3 linked regions of the Lonchura striata genome follow. The protein of the gene in region 3 interacts with the protein of the main gene of each other region in a biochemical or structural test. Links are inferred from orthologs where the notes say so. Each region holds a gene or a part of one and is shown on either strand. Other genes may lie near its edges.

Evidence for each region.
Region 1: the proteins of SH3GL2 (region 3) and DNM1 form a complex in vitro, tested with the Homo sapiens proteins (2 studies listed by BioGRID and IntAct, with this or other methods). The link is inferred for Lonchura striata from reciprocal best matches to the Homo sapiens genes SH3GL2 and DNM1.
Region 2: the proteins of SH3GL2 (region 3) and SYNJ1 form a complex in vitro, tested with the Homo sapiens proteins (2 studies listed by BioGRID and IntAct, with this or other methods). The link is inferred for Lonchura striata from reciprocal best matches to the Homo sapiens genes SH3GL2 and SYNJ1.

The regions. Positions count from the first base shown.
Region 1 is NC_134624.1:507,555-514,550, forward strand, and holds the start of DNM1 (dynamin-1), read left to right. Parts: upstream 1-3,985; 5' UTR 3,986-4,148; coding exon 4,149-4,309; intron 4,310-6,996. UniProt on the Homo sapiens protein: Catalyzes the hydrolysis of GTP and utilizes this energy to mediate vesicle scission and participates in many forms of endocytosis, such as clathrin-mediated endocytosis or synaptic vesicle endocytosis as well as rapid endocytosis (RE).
Region 2 is NC_134604.1:19,416,649-19,424,326, forward strand, and holds the start of SYNJ1 (synaptojanin-1), read left to right. Parts: upstream 1-4,667; 5' UTR 4,668-4,759; intron 4,760-6,060; 5' UTR 6,061-6,080; coding exon 6,081-6,204; intron 6,205-7,678. UniProt on the Homo sapiens protein: Phosphatase that acts on various phosphoinositides, including phosphatidylinositol 4-phosphate, phosphatidylinositol (4,5)-bisphosphate and phosphatidylinositol (3,4,5)-trisphosphate. Has a role in clathrin-mediated endocytosis.
Region 3 is NC_134642.1:22,234,126-22,242,135, forward strand, and holds the start of SH3GL2 (endophilin-A1), read left to right. Parts: upstream 1-4,999; 5' UTR 5,000-5,140; coding exon 5,141-5,185; intron 5,186-5,280; exon of another isoform or gene 5,281-5,303; intron 5,304-8,010. UniProt on the Homo sapiens protein: Implicated in synaptic vesicle endocytosis. May recruit other proteins to membranes with high curvature. Required for BDNF-dependent dendrite outgrowth.

The sequences.
Region 1 (6,996 bases), on a different chromosome or scaffold from region 3:
TACCAGGAGCTATTTTATGACATCTACAGGATGCAGAAAGCACAGAGAACTCATCTTTGTTGCTCTTAAAATATTAATTTAAAATCACATCCATGCACAGATCCCATTCTTAATGGAGTATAACATTCAGCTTCTTTCTTTCCTTATGTATACTCTGGCTTCTGGCAAGTTACACTCACAATAATACTGTCCTAGTGTCTTATACACCAGATTTACCTTCTTTTACCTCTTTTTGGGGGATTTTCACACCAATTCAGTTTAAGCACAGAAGATGCAGAAGCATCTCACTATGTTATTCTACAAAGAAAAGCATTCTATTTGAAAACTCAAAAATTAAAGACTGCTTTTCTTTCAAATAGCTTTTGCAATTAATAGGAGCATTAGAAATCAACTTTTTTTCTCTGAGTAACTGATACCACAAGAGATTGATGATGTTACTGTGGTACCATTGCTACTATAGTAGCACTTTAGTACCTAGAAAATAGATACTTAAGCGTTTTCTATCTCTATATGCAGCTTTAGATAGTTATGGAAATGTAAGAGGCTAATTTTAGTTAATATTTTTAACTATTGATCAGCTGTATCATGTAGTATTAGTATGGACAATGACAATCCTAGACCAGTTTCTTTTTGGAACTTTTAACCATTCAATTAAAATTTTTACCTGTGTTTATAACCATTTTTAGGAACCCCAAAGGCCAGAATTATCCACTTCAAGACCCACAGTGAAATGTTCTAAACATTCACACTACCTGGAGTCAGCAGAAACAGTTTGCAAGGAACTTAGAAACTCACAAGCTAATTGCTTTCCACATTTTTGCCTCTTTTTTCCTCTGAGGACTAGATATGTTATTTTTGCAAGGGCAAGGAATGAAGGACAGAATCCAGCTCTCAAATGTCTATTTCTAATTATGCTAACTAAACTGGGAGTCCTATTTGCATGAGGTGACAAAATCAGCATACACAACTGTGGTTATGTTGATAGCCATACATAGAAACACACATATGCTTGGCCACATGCATTTTTAGGGATTCATGTTAAAGTACATTCAGAAATATTTATAGCACAGGGCGGGGGGAATCTTTCATTCCTCTTGTTTTTCTTTGCTCACATCTTCAGTTTTTCTACTAAGATAAAAAAATAGATTTTTCCTATTCATTCCAGTTATTGAAATTCCTTTTGTTTTTCCTGCTCTGTCTGCTAAATGCTGCTGAGTAAGTCACAGGTAGGAGGTATTACAGAATCAAAAGGTATGTTTGCTGAGACATCCCTGCAACTCAGTTTGTGGCAGGGGAGAAAATGGAAGGCTCTAGGAGCGATTCCGAGTGCCTGCAGTTCGCTTTTTCATCAGAGGGAGGAGTAGGTTCGTAAAGCTTCAGAAAATCCAAGCCTCGCTGTCTGGGATGCTCGGGGTCAGTCTCTCTGGGCTGGGCGGCTGCAGTCGCTGCAGAAGCGTCCAGACTTCACACTGTAAATGAGTGGTTTAGGGTGATGCTGCAGGCAGACACACTGGAGCTCATCTGCTTACAAAAAGCTCTGCAGGACAAAGAAGCTGGAGCAGATTCTGTGCATCTCTCAGTTTTACACTAATACTGATCCATGCAAAATTCGCCAATATTTCTGCATGTTTTTCCAATTCCATAATTTCTTTTATTGCTTTCTTGTGTGCCTGGAGAGCACCCTATTAGCTCCTCTCATCCCTCCTGTCCAGTTTTGCCCTTTAAGATTTCAATAATGCCAAAACCCCTCATATATCCCCCAAAGGACCACATTTCCTAAGAACTAAGTATTAGTTTAATGGAAAAATAAAACTAGATAGTGTAGGAAAAATCACCTGCAAAGAAGTCATGCATGAGCCTTTATACTGTATGAGCTCCTTAACTGGCAATATAAATCTTATTTTTCCCCTCAGTCTTCAACATCAGCTGTTGATATATTATATTTTCAATAGTCTGTCACAAACATTTCTCAAAGAAAATGGATTAGTTTCATTTTAGCTTTTCCAAAAGAAATATCACCTGAATGATTAGTTCTAGAGCTGACTCAACCAGAACAAAATATCTACCCAGTGTACATGGGGATGAAGCTAAGGAGTCAACCTATGTGTGAAAGCCAGACCCAAAGACTCCATAGACTGCAACCAGAGACAAACACGTCTCCATAAGTCAGCAGGACTGATGGCCCACCCAGGTCCACAGATGTGGGGGGAAGCCCCAGGTGAGGCTGGCCATGGCCACTGAGAGTTTTTAGTACAGCTGGTAAATTGTGTGAGGTGACTGAAGTGATGCAACTGGGCAGTCTTTGTATTGCAGTTGGTGAACTTCACGGTACAGCGAGCCCTGGGAAAAGGTCAGTTTTCTGCTTTTGGTTCCTCAAATAAAGCTTCAAAGATCCTCATGGTCTAAAGTTCCCTGAGCTTCAGCTCTGATCCAGGGAGGAAGGTGACATCATTATTTGAGCCTTTGATACTCTTCACTGTTCTTTTTGTGGTGACCTCTTACAAGGAGCAGCTATCTATAGCAGTTTTTTTCCAGAATCCTTCAACATAAATTATCTGAATGGCTGCAGGGATGCTCAAAGGCTTTTGTCCACAGTCTATATTGAATTCCTTAAGCTTATTTCTTGAGATTTACTGGGTAATTTGCTGAGAGGAAAAAATAGCATTGACAGCCCCCAAAACTGCCCACGTATGCCCTACAATGGTGTTACCCGTACAGATGGAGCAGCTCCCTTCCCTTCCTTCAGTGTTCTTACCTGCACATTGGTGATGTGCTAGAGCATGGGGCAAATTCATCCCTCACCATGGTTGCCTCAGTTTCTCTGTATGTCCACATAGGTATTTTTGCATGGATTAAATTTGATGGACACCTGTGAAATAGTCATTATAATTATTATAACTAAAAAGCTGCTGTACAAAACAAAACAGACAGCTCAAAATCTGTTGCAGTTTTTTGTACTTCATTTCCCCCTCCACCCCCATCCCTCTCTGAGCTGTGAATAGGAGTCTTGGGTAGCACGAACTGAGGGGTGTTTGAAATGCGACACTCTCCATCCTTCTGAGTCATTGCTAGCCATCAGATGCTTTTTTGAACACTTGTTTTCATTGCTGTACTTTGAAATCAAATATGGCCTCATGTTATATTCTTATTAAAAATCTATCCCTTTTAAAAACCATAAAACCAAGCTGTTCCCTCTTTATTGCAGACAAGTAATTTTAAAAACAAAATCTGGGTGCATAAAATGAAGCACCTGTTTGTGTTTCTCTAAAACAAGCCTGGCAACACATCCACTGTTTTACAGCTATAAACAGAAATTGATACATTTTACATCTGTGTTTGAATGAAGCATCAGAATCATAGAATGGGTTGGAAGAGACCTTAAAAAAAAAATTCTTATTTTAACCTCTGCCATCTTATTCTAGCCAGATGCTCAGAGAGTGGTAGCATTTTTGCAAAGCTCCAGTTTAATAATCTCAAGTGTTTCTTGCATTTTGGTGATTTCACAAGTGCTGTCTCCACACAAAGCCCTCCCATACAGGTGCTGTGACCAAGCCATGGCGCACTGAGTAAACGTTGCGGCTGTGAGGATCACAAAGTGCAGGTGTAGGAGCCGAGCCAAGTGGGTTCTTCCAGCACATCTTCCCTGCCCGCTGCAGCGCTGCACGGCTGGCGGCAGTGACCGCCACAGGGCTTCGGCACCGTGCGGGGCTCACCCACAGGTACACCGGGACTGACTGCGGGGCCAGCACACCCACACCGGCTGGGCCACGCCGGTGTGCCAACCTGCCGCACACAGAGGCAGCCCCGGGTAACCTGCACTGCTCTGGTTCTGGGAGCGAGCCCCGTTCCCAGGTCTCTGGGCACAGACACCAGGGCCGCGCCGCCCCGATCCCGGCCCCCTCGGCCCCTCACGGCCGCCGGACTACATCTCCCGGGATGCAGCGCGGCGCCGGTACCTTTAACGCCCCCTGGCGGCAGCACGGGGCGCTCCACAGGCGCGGCGGGCGGGCTGAGGCGAGCGGAGCCCGGGCGGCGTCGAGCGGGGCGAGGGGCGCGGGCTGGAGCCGCTGCCCACCGGCCCCACAGCCGGGGAGGGCTGCGGGAAGGGTTAGTGCGAGCTCGCCTGTGCCAAGAGCCGCGCCGCAACCATGGGGAACCGCGGGATGGAGGATCTCATCCCGCTGGTCAACCGGCTGCAGGACGCCTTCGCCGCCATCGGGCAGAACGCCAACCTCGACCTGCCGCAGATCGCCGTGGTGGGGGGGCAGAGCGCCGGCAAGAGCTCCGTGCTGGAGAATTTCGTCGGGAGGTGAGCGGGGGTGTCCCCGGGGGCGCGGGCAGAGCTGCCGCATGGCCAGCGCGGTGCGGGGGCAGCGCGGTGCGGGAGCAGCGCGGGCAGAGCCGCCGCACGGGCAGCGCGGTGCGGGGACAGCGCGGGCAGAGCCGCCGCACGGGCAGCGGCTCCGCACGGGCAGCGGCTCCGCACGGGCAGCGCGGTGCGGGAGCAGCGCGGGCAGCGGCTCCGCGCGGGCAGCGGCTCCGCACGGGCAGCGCGGTGCGGGCGCTCTGGCCGCGGTGCGGGGACCGCGCGGAGCGGGGACTGCGCTCCGCTCGCGGCTACTCCGCTCGGCGCGTGTGTGGTGCGCGGGCAGCGCTGCAGGACGCCCGGGCGCTGCGGTGCAGGGGTACGGGGAGGCGCGGGAGGAAGGCAGGGAGGGAGGGCTCGCTCCCCGCCTGGGGGCATTCCGCAGCGGGGTCCCCGCCACTGCCGCACCTTGGCGGCCGGTGGCAGCCCCCCCTCGTCCTGGTGTTACATAACGGAGGAGGCTGAAGGGGCTGTGGGGGCCGGCCCCATCCGTCCCCTGCTCGGTGCGGGGCTCAGAGATGGATGTTGTCGCTGCGGGGGGAGTGATGCGGAGGGTGTTTAAGTTTAATCTGCTCCGTCCCCCTCCCCCAGCCCAGGCTCGCTGTCCTCCATAGCGGATGCCATGTCAGGAGCTGCGGGGAGGCTATAGGAAGGACGGGGTTATAGCTATCCTATATGCTCAAATCCCCGGGTGCTACCATTTTGTGGCAGGCAATATACTGATGCTTTCCCTTCATGTGACCTTCGCATTCATCATCTGCAACTTGAGTAAATTGCAGACCGCGCTGCTTGGGTATCTCCTCCAGTGCAGACACACAACACCTGGAGGGAGGGGGGGAACGTTCCTCACCTTTTTTCTGGCCTTGTTAATTAATTGTATTAAGTTATATACGGGTTTTAGTTATCAAAGTGGTTTTTTATGCTGTAAGGAGCACGCAGGTTTCTGGGGACTTGCCTTAAGAGCAGTGATTGCTGATACCTGGTCAGATGCTTGCGTGGGCTTTTCTCTTTCAGCAAACTGCATTTGTGACAACATCTACTGGATCTCATTTCCCAACCCCCACTTTTTCTTTTAAGCTGTTTGCTGTTCGATGGCTTATAGGGCTTTTCCACTGTCAGAAGGGTCTGTGGTGTGGATTAACTGCTTGCTTAGCTGCAAGTAGCCAAATTCTGGACCCGTGCAAGGGTATCTTTGAGCAGTGAGTGCTGGGTGTACTAGGAGGAAAGCTCAGGGGTTACATCTGGTACAAAGAAAGCATGGTCAAAATAAAATGTTTTCTTCTCTGCCATAGATCAAAGAGTTTTGAAAAAATAAGAATATAAAATTTGAAGAGTTTGGTATCTCTTCTAGCTAACTTCCAAAGGTCCATGCAGTGTATCCCTGAGAGATGCTGGGATCATGCCAAGGGCCAGACATTGCAGAAACACATTTTACTGAGTCTCAGGTCATAGTCCAGAATCCACTTGTTTGTCCACAGTCACAGAAAAGAAATAAAATTCCTGCCACCCAAGTGAGAAACTTGCTGGGCTGTGGCTTTCGAAGAAGGGGAAAATGGATCTTCTGAAGTCTTTGAGCAAAATGGGTTCACCTGTTGGCCCTGCTGTTTTCATGCTTTCTAAGTACTGGCAGTCAAAGCTCATAAATCCTTTTTAGAGGATCTGTGCAGGCAGTGCTGCAGTGGTGTCGTAGATAATGTCGGGCTGCTGGGCCAGAGGGGGATTTGTTGGAGGAAGGACAGTCAGTGTATTGGGGTAAACTGCTCCTCTCCTTTAGACCAACCACACAAGAGGATTTACTAATCCTTGATGCATCTACACTGGCACTAATTTAGAATGGCATTTTATCTGCTTGGTGGAAAATATATGAATTCAATTATCTTCTGTCTCTTTCTGATGACTCCAGTCACAGGAGAACTTATGACCTCACCGTGTCCCATCAGCTGTCTCTCTAGCAGCAAGTTACAGCGCTGTGGCTTTTCGAAAATGAAATAATTAAAGGTCCCCTGAGCAGGAGCTGAGAGCTGTCGGTAGAAAAGCATTTAGAGGAAATAATTGGAGGGGAAATGGAAAATGTCAGTGTGAAAAGGTCTTTCTCCATTTGATACCCCTGAGTGCTGGCTAGTTTAGACTGGTAACTTGAGACCTCTTACCACATAATGTATGTGTATATGCTGCAAATCCCAATCCTGTTAAAATAGTGTTGGGGCCCTGCTGTAATGTATAGTCTCTTTTCTTTCTCTGTGGGTATTGGTAACCATGATAAGGAGCTATGGAAATAGTATCCAGAATGAGCATGGTTCTTCAGTGTAATTGTGATAGGGGATGTTTTCTTGTCTGAACAGCCATAAGAAGAAACTGTGTGTAGACCTACTGTGTACAAATACAATTATTGCTGTAGTGTGGACATGACATATGTCACTGCTCCTGCTTGATACCAGGATGGTGGTGCAGCTATTGCTCAGCAGCTGCTTGCTGCACAGGGAATGTGAGTACTGATGAGTTTCTCTCTGAGCGGATGGAAATCTGTGCAAGACCAAATGCTGATGTGGTTGGTACTGGCTGATTAGCATGATGCAGACACTTCAGCACAGGGGCTGGAGGCCCTGCCAGGGCTGGTTTCTCTGCTCAGG
Region 2 (7,678 bases), on a different chromosome or scaffold from region 3:
CAAAACCTCCAGGATACTGTAAACGTCTAGAGGATTCAGCCCAGCAGCCCTTCTATCGGTTCATCCGACTTGAAAAAGAACAAAGACCTTGGGAAGGGGAGGGCCACGCTGAACATCAAAGTATTAGAGTAAGGTGTAGTTGGTTAGATTGTCATTGTTACCCTTTTGCCTGTTTTTCCTGCAAAATCTGTAAAGGATTGTGGTGGGCTCACTGCAGAAAGGGGAGAGCTCCAAAAAGTGTATGTCAACGCTGCTGGCTGGAGCAGCGCAAATTGACATCTGAAGTACTAAATTACAAGGTTGCCACTCGGGAATTGACTAAAGGATCCCCTGAGTGGTGGGAGGTTTTCGTAAAGGGAATCAACCCTGAATTCCACTGTTACCATTCCAACGAGCCCCTGGGTCCGTTTCTCACGGATATAGTCCAGGTTAAGTGTCGCAAATTAGTTAAAAAACTCAGGTGCGACACTCCACAGTTGAATACAAAAAATTGGATCTCCCGGAGATCAAAGTGGGAGAGAGGGAACGATCCCACCCCTGAAGAATATCTCTGCTGTCGGGAAGATGGCTTGCCCTGTAACTTGTAGCAACCAAGTTGACAGGCGAGACAGAGAGGTAGATAGTGGGGATGAGGGGCCCTCCCAAACCTTGAAAGAGAACGTAAATCATCATGAGTATGAGAATGGTGACAACGGAATGAGGGAAAATGGGAATGTAAAACTGAGCATGATAAGTAACATCCTCCCCTGCAGTGCGTATCACTCAATCCTATGGGTTTTTATGTTTGTATGGTTTCCCCTTCAGAGTGCTACAGCTAACTCACATGAACCCTTTAAATGGACCTTAAGCAGATGGGAAGATCACGATACCCGTCATATTTTACAAACAATAACGGGACCTGGAGCACCGAGCTTCAAAGTTGGAATCTGTGATTTAACTCGGAATTTAAAATGCGGGCGACTGTTAAACTTAACAAGCTTCTATATGTGCCCCGCTTCAAACCCAGGGAAGCAATACTGTAATTACCCCAAACATTATTACTGTGCCTATTGGGGCTGTGAAACAATAGCATCAGCGTGGGCTCCGGGTGGGGGATTAGATAAATATTTAAAGGTAGGACATGGACCAGTAGGATGTAAACGACCACGAGAGTGGCCTTGGACTGGGAAAAACTTACTTGGGAACTGCACCTTTCTTTACCTAAATATCACTCAACCAAGCGATTCTGGGTGGTTAATAGGCAAAACATGGGGGGTTAGGCATTGGATAGAAGGACATGATCCGGGAAATCTGATTCAAATAAAAAAAGAAGTAGCACCGCACGACCCTAGCCCTATAGGCCCAAATCCAATAATAAGCAATGACTTAAAAGAAAGTAATAAAGCCAGAGATAATGTTATAGACAAAGGTAATCAAGAACCTCAGTTATTAGTGCAGAGGTATACAACTTTATGGAAAATCATGCAAGCTACTTTTGGGGTTCTAAATCATACCCATCCTAACCTAACTAAAGGATGTTGGCTTTGCTATATGATAAATCCACCCTTTTATGAAGCTATTGGGATTACATCCGAAGCAAGGGAAATAAATGGTACAAATCCAAAGGAGTGTCTCTGGAAAAAAGAAGGAGATAATGTTCCAGGCATTACCTTGTCCCAAGTTAGTGGGCAAGGAAGGTGCGTAGGAAAAATTCCTGCAGATATACGACACCTCTGCAACACAACAATAAGCATTAACAGAACAGACAAGCCTTTTGATTGGCTTATGCCAGCAGTCAATACTAAATGGGTATGTCAACAACTTGGAGTTACACCCTGCCTATCGGTAAAAGCCTTTAATAATTCAGACTTCTGCATTCAAGTTCTAATAATCCCCAGAATCGTATACCACCCAAAAGAATACGTGCTAGAACATCAACAAACCCCTGAACACTACTTGGTTAAGAGAGAACCACTTACAGCACTAACGGTAGCAATCTTGCTCAGCATAGGGGGAGCGGGAGTCGGAACAGGGGTCGCTTCCCTAGTAAGTCAAACCCAAGGTATGAAAGCTCTGCGCACATCTGTAGATGAAGATCTAAGTAGAATAGATAAAGCCATAAGTGAACTAGTTAAATCAGTAAAATCCCTTTCTGAGGTAGTCCTCCAAAACCGAAGGGGATTAGATTTGTTGTTCTTACAGCAAGGGGGACTATGTGTTGCTTTACAAGAAGAATGTTGCGCTTATGTAGATCACACAGGTATTGTAAAAGACACGATGGCTGAGTTACGCAAACAAATAGAACAACGAAAAAGAGAAAGAGAATCCCAGCAAAGTTGGTATGAATCCTGGTTTACATATTCTCCCTGGCTGACCACTCTATTATCCACCCTTGCGGGACCAGTAATTTTACTAATTCTAATACTTACTTTTGGACCATGTATCCTTAGCAAACTTATTACCCTAGTGAAAAATAGGTTAGAAGCTGCACATTTAATGATAGTAAAGCCAAAGTATGAGCCACTTAGCGAAGTAGAGACTGAAGAGTATTTAGAGTTAAGCAAGAAAGAGTTAGAACGCTTTAATGAACAAAAAGGAGGTTAAAATAAAAAGGGGGGATATTGTTAGGAAAATAAGGCCTTTTTGTTCATATAGAGTCTCTCATATTCACAGAATAGAGTTTTAATTAGAGCTTGTACTTGTCTGAACATGTTCTCATCTTGTCAGGCATTCCAGTGTCTATCTCATGCATTCCAGTGACTATCTTTCAAGGTTGACTTCGTTACGAAGTTTTTAGGGAGTTAGAACTGTTTTGAAAAGGCTGCTACTAGGCACCCAAACACCTAAGCAACTAGATATGTTTCAAGGATAGTTCCGTTACAGACTTGGCAAAACATGTAAACGTGCCTCGAGATAACATTTCTTATTTTTGAGGGAATTTCCAGGTCGCAGAGACAACCTTAAAGAAGACCACTGGCGCCATCAAGAGGCAGAGAACAACCACCTAACAACAGGGTGCGCCTGCGCAGAAGAGACACTGGAGCGTCACCAGAGCGTCACACACCCGGAAGAGACAACCCAATAAGTGGGGGGGAAACGGGGAGCTAGGCGCGGTAGTTGAACCGACTGCCGCCCAGCGCGCGCTGGTTTGCTTTCGCTTTCCGCTATTAATAAATCCTTTTAATTGGATTTAACAGCCTATTGTGCTCGTTTATAACAGTAAGGGCTGGGGGAGAGGTGAGGACTGGTGTACCTCTCCTCTACCGTATACCCCAATCTGTACCCCATAATTTCGCTGTGGGCTCTCTCTGTTCCTCAGCCTGTAACGTGACACCCTCGAATCCACCTGCTCAGTGCTACCCTGCCAGCCCCAGACGTTATCCCCGCCTCTTTTCTGTTGGTGCTGCGTTCCTCTGAGCGCTATAGCGACAAATGTTTGCTGTCGCTGTTCTGGTCACAAACGTGTCTGGAAGCAGTCATCTCCATCTCGCCGGGAGGGGCGTGACCGGGCGACGTCCGGCACAAAACGCGGGGGTGGGACGATGGAGGGGCGGATCGATGACGCAACGGGGGGCTGGGCAATGGGACGACGACATGACGCAACGGGGGGTGGTGTCGGTGAAAGGGTTGGTGTGTGGCCTGGGACTTAGCGTGAGTGACAGGTGCTGCTGCGCCGGCGGAGGGAGCGGCGGGAGCATAACTCCCAGGAGCCTCAAAAAAAAAAAAAAAAAAAATCATCCTCCTGCCTGACAAAACCTGGCCCCAGCACGGTCTGCAGCCAGACCTCGGTGATGAACATTGCCTGTGAGCGCGGGGGCTGCAGGCAGTACCCACCGGCCGGGCCGCGGGACAGCTGCGACACCGCGGGCTGCAGTTCCGCCCCTGCCTACCCCAGTGTCCGCCGGAGCGCGGCCAGCAGCACAGAACGCGGGGGTCGCTCTCTTCGGCCGCCCTGCTCCTGCCGTGCCAGCGGCAGCTGCGCCAGGAGTGGGGAAAATCCCCTTGGCTCGGGCAGCTGTGGAGTCTGCCTCCGAAACTGCGCACTCTTCGCTAAGACCCTGTTGAGCCACACGGGCGGCTGAAAGTAGTGCGCTTACTCAGCTGGAGAAGAGATTGAGCTGAGAACTCTTTAGGGGTCTGCAGATTAGGGCCAGCTGTAATTCTGCTCTCTGTGAACAGTGATAGGACCCAGGGAACGGCTGGAGCTCTGTTAAGGGAGAGTTAGGCTGAGTGTCAGGAAACGTTATTCCCCCAGAGGGTGCTGGACACTGACCAGGCTCCTCAGGGCAATGGCTCTGAGGCTGCCAGAGCTCCAGGAACGTTTGGAGAGCGATGTCAGGGATGCACGGGGTGGGATTGTTGCAGTGCAGGGACAGGGGTTGGACGCGATGATCTTTGTGGATCCCTTCCAACTCGGGATATTCCACGGCTCTATTCCATGACTGCAGTTAGCAAGACGCCGGCTTCAGAGGACTCCCCCTCGACCCGAGGGCTGTGAGTTTCACAGCCCTTTACCCAGCGAGGTGGTTCAGTGGCGGCTCAATCCGCAGGGCTGCTCCTGAGCCCGTTCCTTGGCTTCTGCTCCTCGTAATAACGCCACAGTGGGACCGGGGCGTGGCTGTGCTCAGTATACGGCTCGGTTCGTTAAAACCGCAGCTCCGTCCCACCTTGGCCCAGTGCCCGCCCTCCGGCACCTCCCCCCGGGGCGGGCGGCGCAGTGCGGAAGGACGCGGGGCCGGGAGGAAGCGGATTCCGCCGGCTCCGCGGCAGCGGGCGCACGGTGAGCGTGGCGGTACCGCGGGGCCGGCCTGGGGCTTGGGGGTCTCGTACGCGCTCGGGCGGCAGGCAGGCTTGCGCAGGGGCGGGTGCTGCCCAGCGCGTCCCTCTGCGCTCTGCGGGAATGCGGCAGCCCGGCCCTGGGAGGCCCACGGCTCGGCCGTGCCCTGAGCCCGCTCGGGCGCGGCGGGACCCGGGAGAGGCCGAAGCAGGCCATGCGTGTCCGCTCCGGAGGTCGGGGAACTGCCGGGAAGGGAGGGCGCAAGGACCCGCTCCGGCGCAATCCTCCTTCGCTGCGTTTTCCCGAACCTTAGCACGGAAAACTGGGCTGCTCTCGCATTTGTTTATGGTTTGCTGCAGTGTGAGGGTTTTATGAGTTTTTTTTTAAGGTCTCACTCGTGTGTGGCTGGCGGGCAGCGTCACCAGTATAACACTGCGATATTTCAGCCGCCGCAGGGCAGGGTTTAAATCCAAATCAAACCGTGCCTTCATTTAAAAAAAAATGGGGGGAGGGAAAGCCAAAAATACGTTGACGTTTTTGTACAGTCCTTTAAAATGCCTTGACCGCTTCAGTGTTTAAAATATACTGTCTTTTTGTACAAGGGCAGAATTAGTGGAATAGATCTAAAAGTTGAAGGCTCCCTCTCTGCTTTTGGCATTGGTTTGCCATTAAGGTGGTTGCTACTCTTCCATATTGCTGGTAGCTGGAAAACCTTTTATTTTTTTATTTCCCTAAGAAGAAATCCTGTTTATTAACTTTTGGGAAAAAAATTGCTTTAAACTAAAATAAAGTAGGACTAAATTTAGGTATGTTCTGTGAGAAAGTGGGAAGGCCCTGGGACAGGGTGCCCAGAGAAGCTGTGGCTGCTCCATCCCTTTAAGTATCCAAGGCCAGGTTGGACAGGGCTTGGGGCAGCCTGGGATAGTGGAACACATCCCTACCCATGGCAAGGGGTGGAACTGGATGAACTTTAAGGTCCTTTCCAACACAAGCCAGGGTTTCTGTAAAACTCTAGTTGTCTCAAAGAAGCTTTTAAATAAATCCAGATTTTGAATGGTGTTTCTCTGGGTAGTTCTGGTTTTGAAACACTCTTATGCCATCTTTAGGTAATCCCTGTAATTTTTTTTTTTTTTTGGACGTAGATAAACTAAGTCTCATGAGGTAGAATGAGGGAGCAGGGGATTTTGTTGTTTGTTTTTGTTGAACATGTTAAATCCCTAGGAAAGGCCGTGGGTCAAACCAACTTTGCAGGAGGTGTCTGGAAGCACAGGGAGGTTTCATTAACATCATCTTGTGTTGGCCAGGGCCGTGTGTTTGAGGCAAAATGGCTTTCAGTAAAGGATACCGTGTCTATCACAAGTTGGATCCACTTCCCTTCAGCGTGATTGTGGAAACCAGGAACAGAGAAGAATGTCTCATGTTTGAGTCTGGAGCTGTGGCTGTCCTCTGTAAGTTGATCTATTTTAATAACTACTGTGTTAGAAGGGTGGCAGACTTGACATTGTGTGAGCCATTTTATTTGTGGAATGTAAAGAAGCAACTGTTCTGTTTTTCTGTTTGGTAATGGAGAGGCTTCTGATTTAAATGAGAAAAGAGGCATTTTCTTATCTTCATCTGTTGAGAGAGAATTTTGCGCATTTCATTACAGTTCTTTATACATCTATATTTTCATGTCTACTAAATTTTCTTATAATTGCCTCCCATATCACCTTGTTTCTTGGGTTCTGAAAAACCCTGTTTTGAACATGTGATAAGTCATTGATGAGCTAATTCTGATGTTGCATTTCACAGCAATAAATGCTATATTCTTAAATGTTATATCATAATTTGGTTTTATTTCATTTTGTGTGATTTTTAGCTTTATTTTGTCCCTGTATCTTTAACCTCCCTCAAGACTTGGTATTGCTTTGTCTTGTAATAAAATGAGTAATACTTGGAGCAAGATGCCTTGCATTGCAAAGTTATTTTTACGTGTTTTAAGTGAAAAGTGCGTGAGATTTCCCCCTCCTAAATTTTCTCCCCCTCCCCTTTTTTTTTTTTTTTTTTTTTTTGCTGGAGAACACTAAAGTGCAGAAGAGAACTATAAGGCCTATACATAGACTTTTAAAATACTTAAAATTATATGTTTGTGTTCTTTAGGAAGCCAAAGCACCTGGTTGCACAGCATTTCTGAGCTCAATTTTGGCTCCTCTATAGAAAGCTTTCATTCCATGGAAGTAGTTTTCTCTTTAGCCAACAGCTGTTACAAGCCAGGCAATGACTGGCATAGTTGCTACAGCTGTATGATTACCCAGGTGAACAGTGGGTGTTTTTCTCCTCTTTTTAAAATTCTGCTTTTTTTTCCTGTAACAGTTTCTTCTTACTATGTACTTAAGTAATCTCCCCAACTTTGGTAGCAGTATCCATAAGGCACTGTAGTGTGGATTGGGAATAAGTGTCCAGTCATAAAGGTAGCAAGCAGGTTTCATGCAAGCTATAAAATGTTTTCAAGATTTGTGGAACAGATTGTTTTAGCCTGTGTTTAGTAATTATTATGCTTGAGCTACTTAAGGTCTAACAGATGAAAATTTTTTTATTCCTGAAGGTTATGTTCAAAAAGGGCAGTAAGTCACTTTTCTTGCCGGGATATACTGCAGGCACCTGGATAAATGTCCTTTCCTAAAAATTAAAACCCATGTCAAAGTTCTTGCCCACTTCCTGGCCTTCTTTTACCAAGCAGAGGAAGCCAGACCTGAAGAAGTTTGGAAGCCTCTCTCCTCTTGCATTCTATTCTTAGTGATAGCTCACTATTAATCTGCAAAGCGCTGTCCTTGGAATTCTGATTGGTAGGTTACGTCATAGCAAATGTTCACACTCAGCTGGAAGTAGTTACTGAGTATTGTTTTCAGTAAGCTTAACCAGGAAACTGGTTTCTCTTTTTCT
Region 3 (8,010 bases):
TGTTTTCTTTTGAGCATGGGGACCTGTTGAGCTTTAATGAACTGTGTTTGAGGAAAAATACTGTGAGAGTAATGGTATTGTGTCCAGTCAAGCTTTTTGTACTTTTATAAAGAGGAACTCTTGGACATTGTAGGAAATCTCATATATTGATCATCTATTAAGAAAGAAAAGAGATGTCATGAGTCCATGAGACTGGAGATAGATAATTTGGAAGGGTAACTCTACCAAACCTGGATAATCTATGTCATGCTTGACACACACAAAAATTCAGCCATTCAATCTGTATCTTCAGTGGTTGGAAGAGTAATACTACTTAACTGATAAGAACAATGCTGTTAATTCTTCTTAATTTTATTGGTTTGTGTGAAATGAAATTAAAGGGTTCCTGTAATTCAAAAAAAAGGATAGAGGTTATTGATATTTTTCTACCTTGATTCTTTCCTTTTTAGGTGTTTCCATCTTCCCTTACTTGTAACTTATTGTCTATGTCTTGTGCACCTTTTTATAGTCATAAGCTGACAAAATATTTCCTAATCAGTGAATGAATTAATTTTTTAAAAGATAATTAAATAACAATTTTTTTGCTTGCTTCCTTTATGCCTCACACTTAAATGACCATCTTTCAATCTTTTTTAAAGTCAGCACTATTTTAATGCTCATGCAATTATTCATTGCCTGCTGATTTACACAGCTTAAATTTAGATGTCTTTGCCACCTGACCTGTAGTAGTGTAGCCCAGATTAGATTTCAACTGAGTGGTCTGATTTTTAATTTCTGGCTTAATTTCTGTTAGAAACACAGTTCCTGATCAGTTGTGGGTGAATGACCACACCTTCTGTGGAGCCTTTCCTATTCATAAGGATGTTTATGTTTTTCTGTCTTACTCAATTATTGTGAAAATATCAACAAATATTTCATGTAAAAATATTGACATAGCACCATAAGAACTTAATAAATACCCAAATTCTTCCCCAGCAAAATATGAATGAATTCTCTAAGAAATATTTAGGGGGTTTTTCTTTTTGGTGTTACTTATCAAGAAAAAAAATTGTATTCATAATCCTGTCTGGTTTCTTCTTTTTTTTGTTTGTTTGTTTGCTTCTTTTTGTTGCATTATATTTACTTTTGGTTTTCAACGTGATTTTATTACCTGAGTGCTAAACAGAGTGATTTGCTTCCACTGCAACTTCTGCAAGGACTTATCATCTATGCCACCTTCTCCTGCAATTAGATTTTTGGTTTTACAAACACTTTTTGCTAATGTTTAATTGTACTTTTAGCATTTTATTTTATTTTGGTTGACAACTTATCAAGTGGATTTTATTCTGCTTTACATGACTGTGTGCTGTTGAAGTATTACCTACCAGCTTTTTTAAGAGAAAAAATCTAAAAAGCTGTATAAATTGAAGTATGAATCAAATTCTTGAAGACATATTGAAGTGAATATTTCCACTTATTTCACTAAATGACTGTCAATGAGAATGCAGTTCTAAGTTTGCAGAGTCAACTGTATGTTATGTAAGAACTATAGTGATTTACAACCTAATGTCATAATAGTCCATGAAAAAAAAGGACTAGGCTTGCACCTACAAAAGTCTTTGTCTTTTCTGCACTTGATTATTCCTTGCAGCTGCAACAATGGGGATATTTTAAGTTACTGTTAGAATTTCTTTTGTCTGTGTGAAATAAAACGAGGTGCTTAGCCTATCATACTTACTCATTTTAAAATGGCATTTGGACTTACTGATATAGATCTCATTATTACATAAAAAAATTTAGAATCAGATGTAGCACATCATAGGCAAATATTTGTTGTTTGCTATAGTTTATTAAAACCAGAAGTCATTTCACTAAAGCTGATTTCAAAGCATTATTTAGATACCTCCAGGAGAGGACATCACAAATGACATGATATACTGAAGAGCAGTCACTAAATTAATTTCTCTTTGTCCAAGAAGTGACACTATTTAATTTACAAAAAGGGGTTTTAAGCCCATTGACACAAGCAGGATACACATGAACTGTGCTTTAATAAAGATTAATAAAGATTTCCACTCCCAGAAACATAGATATTCTAGAAGAAAAAAAAAAGAGAAAGAGAAAGAGAAGGAGAAGGAGAAGGAGAAGGAGAAGGAGAAGGAGAAAGAGAAAGAGAAAGAGAAAGAGAAAGAGAAAGAGAAAGAGAAAGAGAAAGAGAAAGAGAAAGAGAAAGAGAAAGAGAAAGAGAAAGGAAAAGAAAAGGAAAAGAAAAGGAAAAGGAAAAGGAAAAGGAAAAAGAAAAGGAAAAGGAAAAGGAAAAGGAAAAAGAGAAAGAAAGGAAAAGGAAAAGGAAAAGGAAAAAAAAAAAGAAAAAGAAAAAGAAAAAGAAAAAGAAAAAGAAAAAGAAAAAGAAAAAGAAAAAGAAAAAGAAAAAGAAAAAGAAAAAGAAAAAGAAAAAGAAAAAGAAAAAGAAAAAGAAAAAGAAAAAGAAAAAGAAAAAGAAAAAGAAAAAGAAAAAGAAAAAGAAAAAAAAATGTATGAGCAGAAGTGAAAGTGCCAGATTAAGTTGTGAGAATATACAGACAATAATATAGGTGAGTCAGGGAATTCAACTACGATTTGGGCTGATTTATAGCCAGGTATCATTTCAATCAACAGGCAGTGGGAACATCAGAGTTTCTAATACTCTTGAAAATGAGAGATACGTTGTATCTCCAGCTCATCACCCTGACACTGAATTTGGCAGACATTTATATATTGATTTATTTGTTATTTATTTATAAAATTTTCACATAAATTTGTAGTGGAGAGGAATGTACTCTTGAAATAGCCAACAAAAGTTAGATTCTGAAATGTTACCACTGAAAGCCAGTTATTTAGTAACATACTTAATTTTATAAAAATTATTCAAAATTATGGCTTTTATCATAGGTTTACTGTTGTATTGTGTTTTTAAGTGTCATGTTTTTGTATCAGTTCTCTAATGGTTCATCCCTTTAGACCCCCCCCCCATTGGTTTTACTGCGAACTACCCCTTTCCTTGTATGCCAATCCCCTCCTCCTTCCCTGATGTCAATCCCCCTCCCGTTTGCTGGATAATTCCCCTATCCTCTCCCTGGTGCCTTGTCCATCACTCAACTCCCCATCCCACTCATTCAGAACCTTCCACAGAGAGCATTGAGTGATTGGACAGGGGCCAGGGGTCCGTCCTTCCCACCTTCCCCGTTGAATTCCTCACCTGTCTCTCTCCCCACCTTCCACTCCCCCGAACATTCCCATAGGTGGCTGATCTCCTTCCCTGTTTCCATCCTCATTTATGTTGTGCCACACAGCCTAATCCGGGGCTTCAGTTGCTTGGTTCCCCTGCATTATGAATCTCCACGGAGATGTCCTCAATAAACCTGGACTTAACCCCTGATTGGGGTCGACTCCTTGCTTCCACCATCGTTGCAACTGTCTCACCCCACCAGGACAAAAGCCTTAGCTGCCCTCCCGACCTCCTGAAGCACGGGAGAGCATGGGACGGTCCCCCACTGGACACAAGGATTGGCACAGTGATAGTTGACTTTTTAGTTCTCACTGTGTTTCCAGACTGAAATTCCTTTTCCCAAGTACTAGGTACAATGGAAGTTTTCTATTAAAAGTACAATGGCTGGCACAGGAGACACCCACTCTCTCCCTAGTATCTTCATATGATCATATTTTTCATCCTTTAAAACAATATTACTACTAGAGTGGATGGAAGTGTTTCTGTGCAGACCTGGAACTAGCCCAGAAAGCAGTGCCTCCTACTTATGCTCAGGATGAGGTTATTGCCATCTCACACTCTCCAGGGAGAAGAGAGGTATTCTTATTTTGTCATTCTTGATGATGAACAACTTTGATAGCGCTTCCAAAAGTGCCCACAGGAATTCCATTTAAGATTCTTTTCTTCTCTGCAAGTAACTTCCAAGAACTGCACTGTATCAGTGATCTGGAGGCCTGGCTCTGCCTCTGGATGCCCAGAGGTGTGGCATCAACCCTTTCCCCCATATCTGGTGAGGTTGATGGTATGTGTGCCTGAAGCCTGCAGCAGTACAGTTTGATTATGTGCAAAAAGTCTGCGTGAAGCACCATGGCAAGCCCTCACAGAGTTTATAAACAGCTTTAGAGGCTTCTGAAAATGCTGTCTAACTAGCTCATGTGATGAGTGTTTGTTGTGATGGAATTAAACGCCAATGTAGCATGGCTGCCTTCAAACAGCTGAGGAGCTGTGAGTGTGCATCTCCGTTGTGCCAATTTGCAGCACACATATGCAGTGACTGGTTCAGCCTGCAGAGAAGGATCATTGTGTTTGGATCACATTGCTCATGTTGTTTAGTCTTTTGCTGGCAGAGCCTAATAATTGCTAATTACTGTTCAGCTAGTATTTGTAACACTAAACTGCTAAAGTACATGACTTTTAGATGGGTTCTAGGCTTTTACTCTCCAGCAAACAGCCACACCAGAAGGCTGGAACAGGCGAAATTTAGAAGTGCTTTTCTATGCATCACTGACAATCTGACGGATGAAGAAAACAGCACTTGTTGAGAGAATCCCAATTAGCCGGGGTTTGACTACCAGCTGTGCTTCAGTGAGGCACGATCAGGCCCAAATAAGCTGGCGTTGCTAGAAAGGTTTTTTTCAGAAAACTGGCCAACACTGACATTCCCTCTCCTACTGCTTTCCTCTCTTGCCCCCATTACTGCTCCGCCAATTTCTTTTCGGGTTCATTTCCCCGGATGATGTCCCGCGGGGACGAGTATCCCGATCCCTGCTGGGAAGGCTGCTTAGGCAAGACCGAGGTCCGCGGAGGGCGGGGAGGACGGAGAACACCCGTGCCCGTGCCCGGGACCGACGAGGCGGGGGCGGGTGCCCATCCCGGGGGTGTCCGCGCCGGACAGCGCTCGGTCCGCGCAGCCCCGCGGCGCCGCTGCCGGCGCACCTGCGGGGCGGGGGCGGCCGGAGGCGGCGCGGCCCGCCCTGACGTCACGGCGCTCCCGCTCCGCCGCCGCGCCTGACAGCCTCCGCCGGGCGCGGTGCGGTGCGGGCAGGCAGAGCGCTCGGCTCGGCTCGGCTCGGCTCGGCTCGGCTCGGCTCGGCTCGGCTCGGCTCGGCTCGGCTGCTGCGCGCTGCCCTCGCCATGTCGGTGGCCGGGCTGAAGAAGCAGTTCCACAAAGCCACGCAGGTACCGAGCCCTTTGCTCGCGCGTGGAGCGCGCTCGGCTGCGGCCAGCGGACGCGTGGGCATGCACGGCTGTGCGCCGTGCGGGATCGTGCGCGGGGCTCCGCTCGAGTGCGTGCGGGGTGAGTGGGTTTGCGCGGATGCTGTGCCCGGTCGTGCGTGATGAGTGAGCGTGCGAGGGGCCGTGTGTCTGGCCGGGTGTGCGCGGTGCGCGCAGGGATGTGCACGGAGGGTGCAGGGTCTGCAGGGGTGTCCATCTGCGGAGGGCCGGGGCTCGCCGGGCGGCCGCGCCTCCCCCCACTCGCTCCGGCCGCGTTGCGGCAGCGGGCAGGGGCTGCCGGGGTGCGGGAGTAGCTCCTGGGCTGCCCCGACCTCCGCGCTTGGAGCCCGCGGGGGCAGCTGCTGCAGCAAACACCGGCCGTGGGCTCAGACCTTCCCTGCCCAGGTCTCTGCACCGTATTTCCATAGGCGTTGTTTGTTTTAGCCTGACTTTGGGAAAACAGCAATAAACATGACCTTTTTGTTTCGTGGGTCTAGACCACAGCTGAAATCCGAGTAATGAGGTTTGGTTCTGTTGCTTTAGGCATGGTGTGATATTGCAGGAAGGTCAGTCAGGGTGAGTGTTTCACCAGTAGTTGAGTTGTTTCATAATACAAAATTTGTGTGTTACAGTCTGCAAGTCAATTTCTGACTTAGTGTACTTTGGGGACAAATCTAAAAATCTAATAAAAAATGGTCTCATAAAAGTCAGAGGAATTGATTTAGATCCAGAGAGCTGACACCAAAACCCATGCAGTGTGGGCGGGGTTTTTTTGGTTGGTTGTGTGTTTGTTGTTTTGTTTATTTGGGTTGTTTTGTTTGTAACTAAATACAAAATCTCCAGTTATTTCCTATTGCTTGCCATTGCAGGCATCTTCAGCTAGGAATCTTGGTCACTGCAAGCAATCTGTAGGTCCAGGCATACAAGATGTATTAACCTGTTAGACTTTTCAACACCTGTGTATTTCCCCTTCTCATGCATCTCATCTCTTGAGCACTATGGGGAAATATTCTGTAAAAATTATCCTTCATCCAAATATTTGTCCAAATTCTGATTTTCGACACTTTGTAGTTACACCGGTACACACTATAACTCTGAATGCAATGGTTTTATACCAAGTCCTGCATGGGTGTATGAAGGCATTGAATAACACCATGTCTCACCTTTCATGCCACATTGTGCTGCATCATTGGTAAAATAATCCTTGCAAGAAAACGGCTGCACTCAAAACAGATGCCATAAGGAGCAGGTAAGGGTGCCTGAGCCCATCCAGCAGTGCCCATCTGCTGCTGCTTACTTTGTTGTTTCTTCCCCTGCTGCCTATGGTGCTATGAGCAGCCTAGGAATCATCATTATGGCAATGAGTTCTGGTACTGAAAAGAAGAATTTCAGTGTCTGTGGTGTCCATGTTTAAGAAGCAGGCAAGCTGAAATTCACTTTTTAGTACTAGAAATCTCAGTTCTCCATTATTGTAAGCTAATGAGAATGCATCTGCAGCAGCAGAGGTAAACTTCTTTTTTGGAGGGAGAATGGTGTGAAAGGTCTGTGCATGCTGTTTTGTCCTTCAGATGACACTTTCACACTGATTGTCAGCAGTACTGTCATTCAGAAGGAAGGAAGAGTTTTAGTTGTCTGGAACCAAAATATTTAAGTCTCTGTTACCAGATTTAGCTGTCTGACATCTGATGACCCAGGGATTTTTGGCCCCAGCCTTGACTTTCACAGTTTGTTTTCATGCAAGCCATGAAGACACATTCATATATGAGAATGACTCACAAGTATGTTGAAGAGTGATCTGCTTATTGGCTTGTTTGCATTATGAGTGAGAAATCTGTGACATAGTTGTGCTGACCTTGCTCCAGGGAGTAATCCTTTTGGCTAGCAGTTAAACACCAGGTGAAATACAGATTGACATTGCTGGTATGAATTAAGCTTCCAGATAGGACCAGAGAAATAGGAAGTTTTAAGAAATCTAAATTACTGATTTGATTCTTATTCATGTTTATTTATATGATGTGCTATTTTAATAGTGTCCTAAGTCATAGAAAGGGTATATCTGTTTTATACAATGTAACCATTTTATTTAATTTCATTTATTGTTTTCTGACATGTGAAATGTCAAACTAACCTGCATCAAGTACTGCCAGTTTGGCAGCCGTGCTGAAGAACTTAATGCTTGTCAACTTTCATGGACCAACTGCCAACAGCAGTGAGACATTGAAGAGCAGGATACTTTGCACCTTCTGGAATGAGTCGAGTGTTCACCCTTTCAGAAAAACTAATGGATTTACCTGTGTGCAGCATATAAATAAAGTTTAGAGAAGACTTCATGAGTTTATAAAAGCAGTGTGAGTCTGGAAGTCCTGATATGAATACAGAATTGCATTCATACACATTAGACTGACCACTGTGGAACAGGTTAGGTTGTTAACTTACTTCTAATATCCACAGAGCAGGAGAAATAGCCCCATTTGAATGTTAACATGCTGCTGCAGATCTGTCATACATCCTGAAGCTAGGAAGATCTAAAGTGTGTTTTTCCAGAAATGGGCAACAAAGTGCTGTGCCACCTAATGGTCTCTTTTCCTTAGGCTTGCAGACTCCTTTGCCAGTAGTGTTATGCCAGTTTGACTGATAGAATATTGCTTCCTCCAGGTTTACGTACAGTTATAAAACTACCACAATCACTTTGGGTGATGGAGTTGACAGTCTGGGGCATTTAAACAGACTTGTTTTAAAATAGCTTGAGCTTTGTTTCCACATGACTGCATTCATTGCATAATATGGCT